2 linked regions of the Drosophila melanogaster genome follow. The protein of the gene in region 1 interacts with the protein of each later gene in a pairwise test. Each region holds a gene or a part of one and is shown in the gene's direction. Other genes may lie near its edges.

Evidence for each region.
Region 2: the proteins of l(2)34Fd (region 1) and Aatf interact in a two-hybrid assay, tested with the Drosophila melanogaster proteins (one large-scale study listed by BioGRID).

Annotation. Positions count from the first base shown.
Region 1 is NT_033779.5:14,352,823-14,356,748, reverse strand, and holds the start of l(2)34Fd (lethal (2) 34Fd), read left to right. Parts: upstream 1-1,663; 5' UTR 1,664-1,751; coding exon 1,752-1,817; intron 1,818-1,875; coding exon 1,876-2,277; intron 2,278-2,330; coding exon 2,331-3,052; intron 3,053-3,112; coding exon 3,113-3,926.
Region 2 is NT_033779.5:6,715,820-6,719,745, forward strand, and holds Aatf (apoptosis antagonizing transcription factor), read left to right. Parts: upstream 1-1,805; 5' UTR 1,806-1,891; coding exon 1,892-3,255; intron 3,256-3,317; coding exon 3,318-3,420; 3' UTR 3,421-3,570; downstream 3,571-3,926. UniProt on the Drosophila melanogaster protein: May function as a general inhibitor of the histone deacetylase HDAC1.

The DNA of each region.
Region 1 (3,926 bases):
AAGAGCAGTACGCGCGAAGTTATTCATCAAGTTAGTTTGTATTTAGGGTAATCATCCTGCCTTACTTCATATGAATGAATTTCATACAAAAGAATGTGACTTAGCAGCATATAGTGTGAAAAGATGAGTATCAATTATGGATTCTTAATTGCTCATACTTAAATCATCAAATACAGTTATAATCGCTTATCATTGCTTGTCAAAGTGACAAGTGCATATCAGTTTAATAGGCTCTATGACGGGCAGTTTAGACTAACTAAGTAGTAGGTCTCGGTCTCGAGTCTTATCAGTCAAGCGCCAAAGGCCAAACATCAGTGGAGCAATCAATGGAGGCGAAGTACATATGTACTTATTTGCAAAATGTGTTGAATGGAAGTGGATCATCATTGCCCCTCATAAAAGGAACACAGCGGCGCACCCATAACAGGGAAAATAACGAAAGGAGTATGAGAAATATATATTTATACACAGACGAAGTATGTATACCCTTTGGCAAAAAATCTTAAATATAAATATACTTTTATAAATGTGCGCTTTATATTCCATTTCTAAGATATAACTGAATACGATTTGATATTTGAGTATCTACAAATAAGCGCACATCCATTCAAACTAATAAAATAAGCCCGCATTGAAGACAACAACGCAATAAGACACAACAAAATGAAAAAGAAATATATTAATAACTGATAACAACTACTAAGAAAACTTCTGATTTATTATAATTTTTTATTCATGCTCGCCTACATTTTGAAAAAACCTTGTTTGCATAATTCATATAATAAATTAATATATAAGCACAGGTAAATATTTCTATGATAACTCATACACTCATATAATAATCCATCTTATAAAAACTAATTTAGAGTATTTATTTATAGCGTATACTAAACAAACTCCTCACCTACCGATTTTTAAGTAGAGTGGCGGCCGTTTTTGCCCCACCATCCCCTAAAAATTCAAAAAATAAATTATACACCATAAAAACCTGAAACATCCCCAGAATTAATCGATTTTTGTAAATCATATTTATTTTCTTAACTTGGTCACAAAACAGTAACTCCCCATTGCAGGGTATCAAAGCAATCAGGGGGTGTATACAACAACAATGGAGTGCTGCTGCCTAACGACAAAAACAAGAGAGAGCGAGAGCACAAGGGAAAGTTGCGGAGCACCCACAGCTGCACTGCGTCACCCCTTCGCAGACGGTTTTCCATTTCGCATAATTTAATCAGTGTTTAATTGGCTTAAGGAAAAACAACGAATATTACTCACCGTTTTAGATCACTTTAGTTTTAGTCCACCTTAGGGAGCGAACGGAATGTGTAACGTAGGGCGGTTACGCAGAGCGGGGGGTACTGTGTGTATGTGTGCGTATTGTTGTTTGGCTGTGCGGAATTCGATTGCAATTTTTGGGCAATTTGGCGATGCAAAATGCAGTTCACTTTCGTGCTAGCACGCACACTGGCTTCGCGGGGTTGCGGGGCTGCACCGAGAGGCAATTATTGCGATTATTTTCAATTGGTAGGTCGATGCAAATCAGTAGTCTTTTTTCACTGCTTTTGCGTTCTCTTGTTTTGCTTGGTTTCCTGCGGTCACACTGAGCAATTGGCAAGCCAAGGGTCACACTGCCGCGATAGGTGCTTATCGCAGCCAGATGCTATCGACAATCGTGTCTATCGATAGAGGGCGCACGTGTTGCGGACTTCGTTTGTTTATGTTTTAATTTTGAGCAAAAATCGTCCCTCAAGATGTTCGTAAACGAAGTTAACGATGTGAAGATCTACAACCTGAGCGCCGGCAAGTCGGTGCCAGATGTGAGTAGCAAGATAAACCCGTTGCCAAGCAGTTAACTCATGAGTATCTCCTTCACAGTGGCTGACGGATCGGCGAAAGCGGTCACAGCTCATGAAAAAAGTGGACTCCCGGAGACAGATCGAGCTCATCCAGGACTTCGATATGCCCGGCGTCTGCACCAGCATCCGCATGAGTCCCGACCAACAGTACATCCTGGCCACCGGCACTTACAAGCCGCGCGTCAAGTGCTTCGAGGTGTCCAACCTGTCTATCAAATTCGAGCGCTGCTTCGACGCCGAGGTGACCACCTTTGAGGTGATTAGCGACGACTACAGCAAGATGGTGTTCCTGCAATGCGATCGCTATGTGGAGATCCATGCGGCCCACGGGCGGCACTACAGACTAAGGATACCGCGCTTTGGACGCGACATGAAGTACCACAAGCCCAGCTGCGACATGTTCATCGTGGGAGTGGGCAGGGTAAGAACTGAGGTCTATCTAATGTCTAGTTTATTCTAAAGATTTGATTTCAGGACATTTTCCGACTCAATTTGGAGCGCGGTCAGTTCCTGCAACCCTTTGAAACGGATGGCAGCTGCCTGAACGCCTGTGAAGTGAATCCAGAGCACCATCTTCTGGTAGCCGGTACCAAAGAAGGCACCGTAGAAGCCTGGGATCCACGTACCAAGCAACGATGTTCAACTTTGGATGTAGCCATGAAGTTGCCGGGCGTCAAGGAGTTTCCATCGGTCACGGCCCTCAAATTCCGGAACGGCTTGCACATGGGAGTGGGAACTGCTTCGGGACACGTGCTGATCTACGACATTCGCGCCAAGCAACCGTTGCTGGTGAAGAATCATCTGAATCGACTGCCCATCAAGCGTCTGGCCTTTAATCCGGCTCAGAATGCCGTCTATAGTTTGGACGAGGCTACACTGAAGCTGTGGGACGAGCAGACAGGCAAGCAGATCGCCTACGTTGAGTCGACTTCGTCATTCAACGATTTTTGCACCATTCCCGACACGGGCATGTTCTTCGTAGCCCAGGAGGATGTTAAGATGATGACCTATTATGTGCCTGCAATGGGTCCAGCACCCCGATGGTGCTCGTTCTTGGATAACCTCACCGAGGAGATCGAATCGGAGGTCGTGGAGAATGTGTACGATGACTATCAGTTCGTCACAGCGAAGGAGCTGGCTGAATTGGGAATGGAGCATCTCGTTGGCAGCAATCTTCTTAAGGGTTATATGCACGGGTAAGTTTGAAAAAGATTGGAAGAGGTAAAGATCTTGTCTAATACCTAAAAATTCTACAGATACTTTATGGACGCAAGATTGTACAACAAAGCCAAGGCAGTTGTGGAACCCTTCGCCTTCGACCGCTTCCGCAAAGATAAGATCCGCCAAGAAATCGAAAGTGAGCGCAAGTCCCGCCTGCAAATCGAATCCAAGCTGCCCAAAGTCAACAAAGAGTTGGCTCTCAAGATTATGGACGAGCAAGCCAATCCTTCCAACAGTGCCAAGCAGCGAAATGTGCCCAGCCTGCTGGAGGACTCGCGTTTCAAGGCCATGTTTGAGAATGCCGACTTTGAAGTTAACAAGTCTGCCGAGGAGTATCGTCTGCTGGCTCCTGTTCTGAACCGTCTGGATAAATCCAAGGCCAAGGAACTCAAGAAGCGCGTGGAGGTGGCTCATGTGGCGGAGTTGCACGCGGACGAGGCACAGCAGCGCGAGGAAAGCGATAATGACGAGGACCTATTTGGCTTCGAGAAGAGCGATGGCGAAACGAAGGATGACAGCGGAGATGAGGCCTCATCTGACGATGATGACCGAAGGGAGTATGTCAAGGAAATGAAGCAGGCGTACAAACAGGTGAAGCGACAACGTGAGGAAGAGGAGGAGCTAGAAGATGACGAGCAGCAGCCGGATGAAATTTCGGATACCGCAAAAAGACCGCAGACGAATGGACACAGCCAACAACCCACCACCAATGGCAACCGTTTCACCATGACCCCCTTGGATCAACATCAAGGCAGCAGTCTACTGCAGCAGCGCATCAAAAAAGCGAGCTTGCAGGATCGCGTAAGGGTCATGTCCCAGCTGGAGGGCCAGGTCACCAATGTGGGTCGC
Region 2 (3,926 bases), 7.6 Mb from region 1:
ACGTGCTGTTTAAATCACTTTTCCTCTATATACAACTATTATATACGTTTCTTCATTCTGTTTTTCTTCCTTTTTTGCGATTTCCGTTTTGTTTTGCGTTTTCTAAACACGCGGCCACACCGTGTTTTGCTGTGTACTATACAGATATAGCTGATTTTAACCTGAGATTTTTGAATATATTTGAATAAATTCTATTTTGCACACACCTCCCAGCAGCGACGAAAATACACCGTTCACACTGCCCACCGCCCACGCGCGTAGTTATCGCTATCGACGATGCGAGAGCTTCTTAACGGCACACACGACTACGACTAACGGTACTCCAGATCCACACTCACACCGATCGACGAGCAGGAACTGACTGAACCGATTGCCTGCCTGGGATGCTGATGCCTCGTACTCGAGATCTCGGCAGCCACTGATAACACAGCTGGAAGATGAGCGCGACAAGTGGAAGCTTTTGCACTCCCGACCATTCAAATACCTGGTCCTCGGCCTCCTGTAGAAATCGTAGCCTACTTTTTGGACAAGGACTATACACCTGAATGCGTTTCTATGACTCTTATAGCTGCTCAAAGGATAGGAAAAGTAGAATTTATCTTTAGCTCTGAGCCCTCTTAATCTGTAAGATTCCAGTTTAAGGTACTTCCTTCGTCAGTGTTACAAAACGACTCACGATATTGGTATACCCCTAATTTCAAGTAGCAGGTATACAATGTTAGGTACATTGATAACAGCGGACGACCCCAATACACTTCACATGTGTGTGTGTGTTTTCAGGTCCCGCCCGCATAAATTTCACGATTATCAATGCGTGTACACGACTCAAAGTTCAAACGGTGGTCCGTCTGATCGCCAAATGTTTCGATTCCTTATCTGCCGCATGAGTCGCGTCTCAGCCGGCACAAGTGATCTACATGAATCTTCTTATAGGCCTCGTTCCGAGCTTTCCTCCTTTCCCAAAACTTTGCTCTCTGTATCCCACTCGTATGTCCTTTTTGTTTCGGATTTCGCACCTCTGATCCCGTCGAGTTTTCACTGGCATCTGCCAAGTCCACTGCCAAGGTTCACAATTTAACCTCATGCCGGCCGGACGATACGCAATTGGACAAAACGATTCATTAAATTTAATGAGCGTGCCGGGGCGGACAAAAGGATTTCAAGTTCACGTTCCGCGGCGCACATTTGTATGCTACGAAAGTGGCGTGAGCGCGGCCTTATCAAGATGCACCTGGCGCACCTGATAAGACGACGGTGGGGCGGCTCTAATGAGTGGTCGTGCAGAATGTGCACTAACTGAAATAAACGGCACATTCAAGGGCGCCGTTTAATTTCGTATTTGCGCTTGCACTCAACGCGGCTTAAATCAAATGCCCAAAAGTATGCAGTGACTTAATATCTGTAAGGTTTCCACCCATTTTTCATCCTTTATTTATATTTGTATGATTGAATACAAAACTTTTTTTGAATTTATAGCACTTATAGCACATTAGGATTCTTGATATTTCAGGGTATATATGAGAGTTCATTTACACAAGTTTGGGAATGCCGAATTAAAAAACAAAATCTATATTGAAGTTTTAAAAAGTTTTCTAAAATTCAATAAACATGGTGTTGGATAATTGTGGTGTTAGGAACAAATTAACACCGTTTTGTAATTAACAATTTTTGGGGAAATTCAATTTTAAAATGAAGTCATTTAAATTTTTAAATTTTTGATTTTACCGCATTCGACCAAACTTTGCGTAAGCGGTCACACTGCTCCGCTTAAAAGAAGTGTGAAAATATCGATATCATCGAAATGTGCATCGATGTTCATCCACCTCTAGCAATCAGTCCATGTGGTAAACTAGGTCTTTCGTTTTGAAATTATAAATGAAACTCTAGCAGTATGCTGCGCAAGTCAAAGAAACAGCCACAGACGGTGGCCGAGAAGGTCAGCAAGCTGCTTGCCCATCCGAACGAGAGCGACAGCGCAGAGGACTCGGACTTCGATGTGGCCACAGGGCCACGTCTGGTGGACTTCGAGGAGGAGGAGTACGACCTGCCGGATGCCCGGAGCACCGACTTTAGGAAGAGGAACGTCAAGCTGCTCTCGGAGCAGAGTGACCGCTACAAAGGAAAGATCAGCAGTCGCAAGGAGTTGGATGACGATGAGGATAAGGATGATGAACAAGAGGTGTCCTACGAAGAAAGCGATGAGGATGATGAGAACTTGACAAACTTTAAGCAGAAGTTAAATGCTGGAGGAGCTGAAGACTCCGAGGAGGAAACGGCTGCTGGACATTCCGAATCTGGTGAAGAAAGTGAGGAGATTGAGAGCAATTTGACAGACTTTAAAAAAAAGTTTGAGGCTGGAGATTTTAAGTATGATGATGATGAGGAGGAGGATGATGACTCTGAGGAAGAAGACCATAGCCAGGAAAGTGAAGGAGATGACGACGATTCAGAAGATGATGAAGCAGAAGACGACGCAATCAAACCCTCGGATGTAATGTCCAAAACCAACCATCAAGCTGAAATCCAAAAAGGACTTGCCGTCCAAAACCAGCTGCGCATCTGGGAGCGTCTTCTCGAGCTAAGGATCAACACCCAAAAGTTCACCAGCAAAGCGAATCAGCTTCCTGCACCGGAAACTCTAACGAAACTGGCATCGGAAAGCGATGAGCTTCAGTCGGTGCTTAACGAGGCCCAGGAGCGTTCATCCAAGCTACTGCAGCAACTGCTCTCCCTCCAGTCAGCTCTCCACCAGCAATACTCCGAGATGAAAAAGTCGGTGAAGCGCAAGCAGCCCACAGAGGATTCGGGTCCGGCGGTCAAAAAGTTTGGTTCTGTGCTGCAGAGCAATTTCCAACAAATGATTGGGTATCGCAATGAAGTTCTGTTAAAGTGGGACGACCGTACGAAACTCCTGACCCCCGGAGCGGGTGTCAAACGCAAGTCCTTGCAGGAGGACTACGACATCATCAAAAAGATCGGCAGCGCCCTGGCGAACCGAGAGGCGCTCGTGGAAAAGTCCCAGACCCCAAAGAACAGCCAGGCGGAGCAGCAGGAAAACACGCCCGTGCAGCGATTGAAGCACATCTACGACGACAGCGATTTCTACCACCAGCAGCTGCGGGAGCTCATCGAGTACAAGGCCAGCACCTCGTCCAACATGAGCGAGATTACCAAGCAGTTCGTGGAGCTACAGAAGCTGCGCCAGAAGATGAAGAAGAAGGTGGACACCAGGGCCAGCAAGGGGCGAAAGCTGCGGTACGTGAAGCAGAGTAATATATCTGCAAGATTTACTCACGAACATTTAAATATACTTTCAGATACGTGGTGCACAACAAGCTCATCAACTTCATGGCGCCCAATGAGAGTAGCGACTGGACGGATGCCTCCAAGTCCGAGTTGTACAAATCATTGTTTGTCTAGACTGTAATAAACTAATATATGAAGTTTTAAATAGGAATAAAATCTATGAAATGTCATAATTGTTAATTGCCATTTAAAAGAATTATAATAGTAGCACTATATACCTAAACAAAAAAAATCAAATTAAAAGAAAACCGATTTTAAATTGTTCTTTACTTTATATATTTATTTATTTATTTATATTTTCATTTGTTATTTATTTTTAACTGCTAAATTTGTATGTTCAACATTTCATTTTCGTTAATTCTTATTTCTTCTCAACTGGGTTATTTATGCAGCAAGTGCATAACAATATGGCTTGAATATAATCGCAAACGTTCGAAATTACCGCTTCATAACCGATTCGTTTAGCGGGTAATCGTGTTTCGGAGATTGTGTACTGTTATGTATTTATTGCTGTCTTCATTCGAGTTGCGTTTTTAATTCGGTTCGATAAATATAAATTAATTTTAATAATTTTTTTATGTATTATACTAGTTGTCCGCAGACGCACATACTTGACTTTT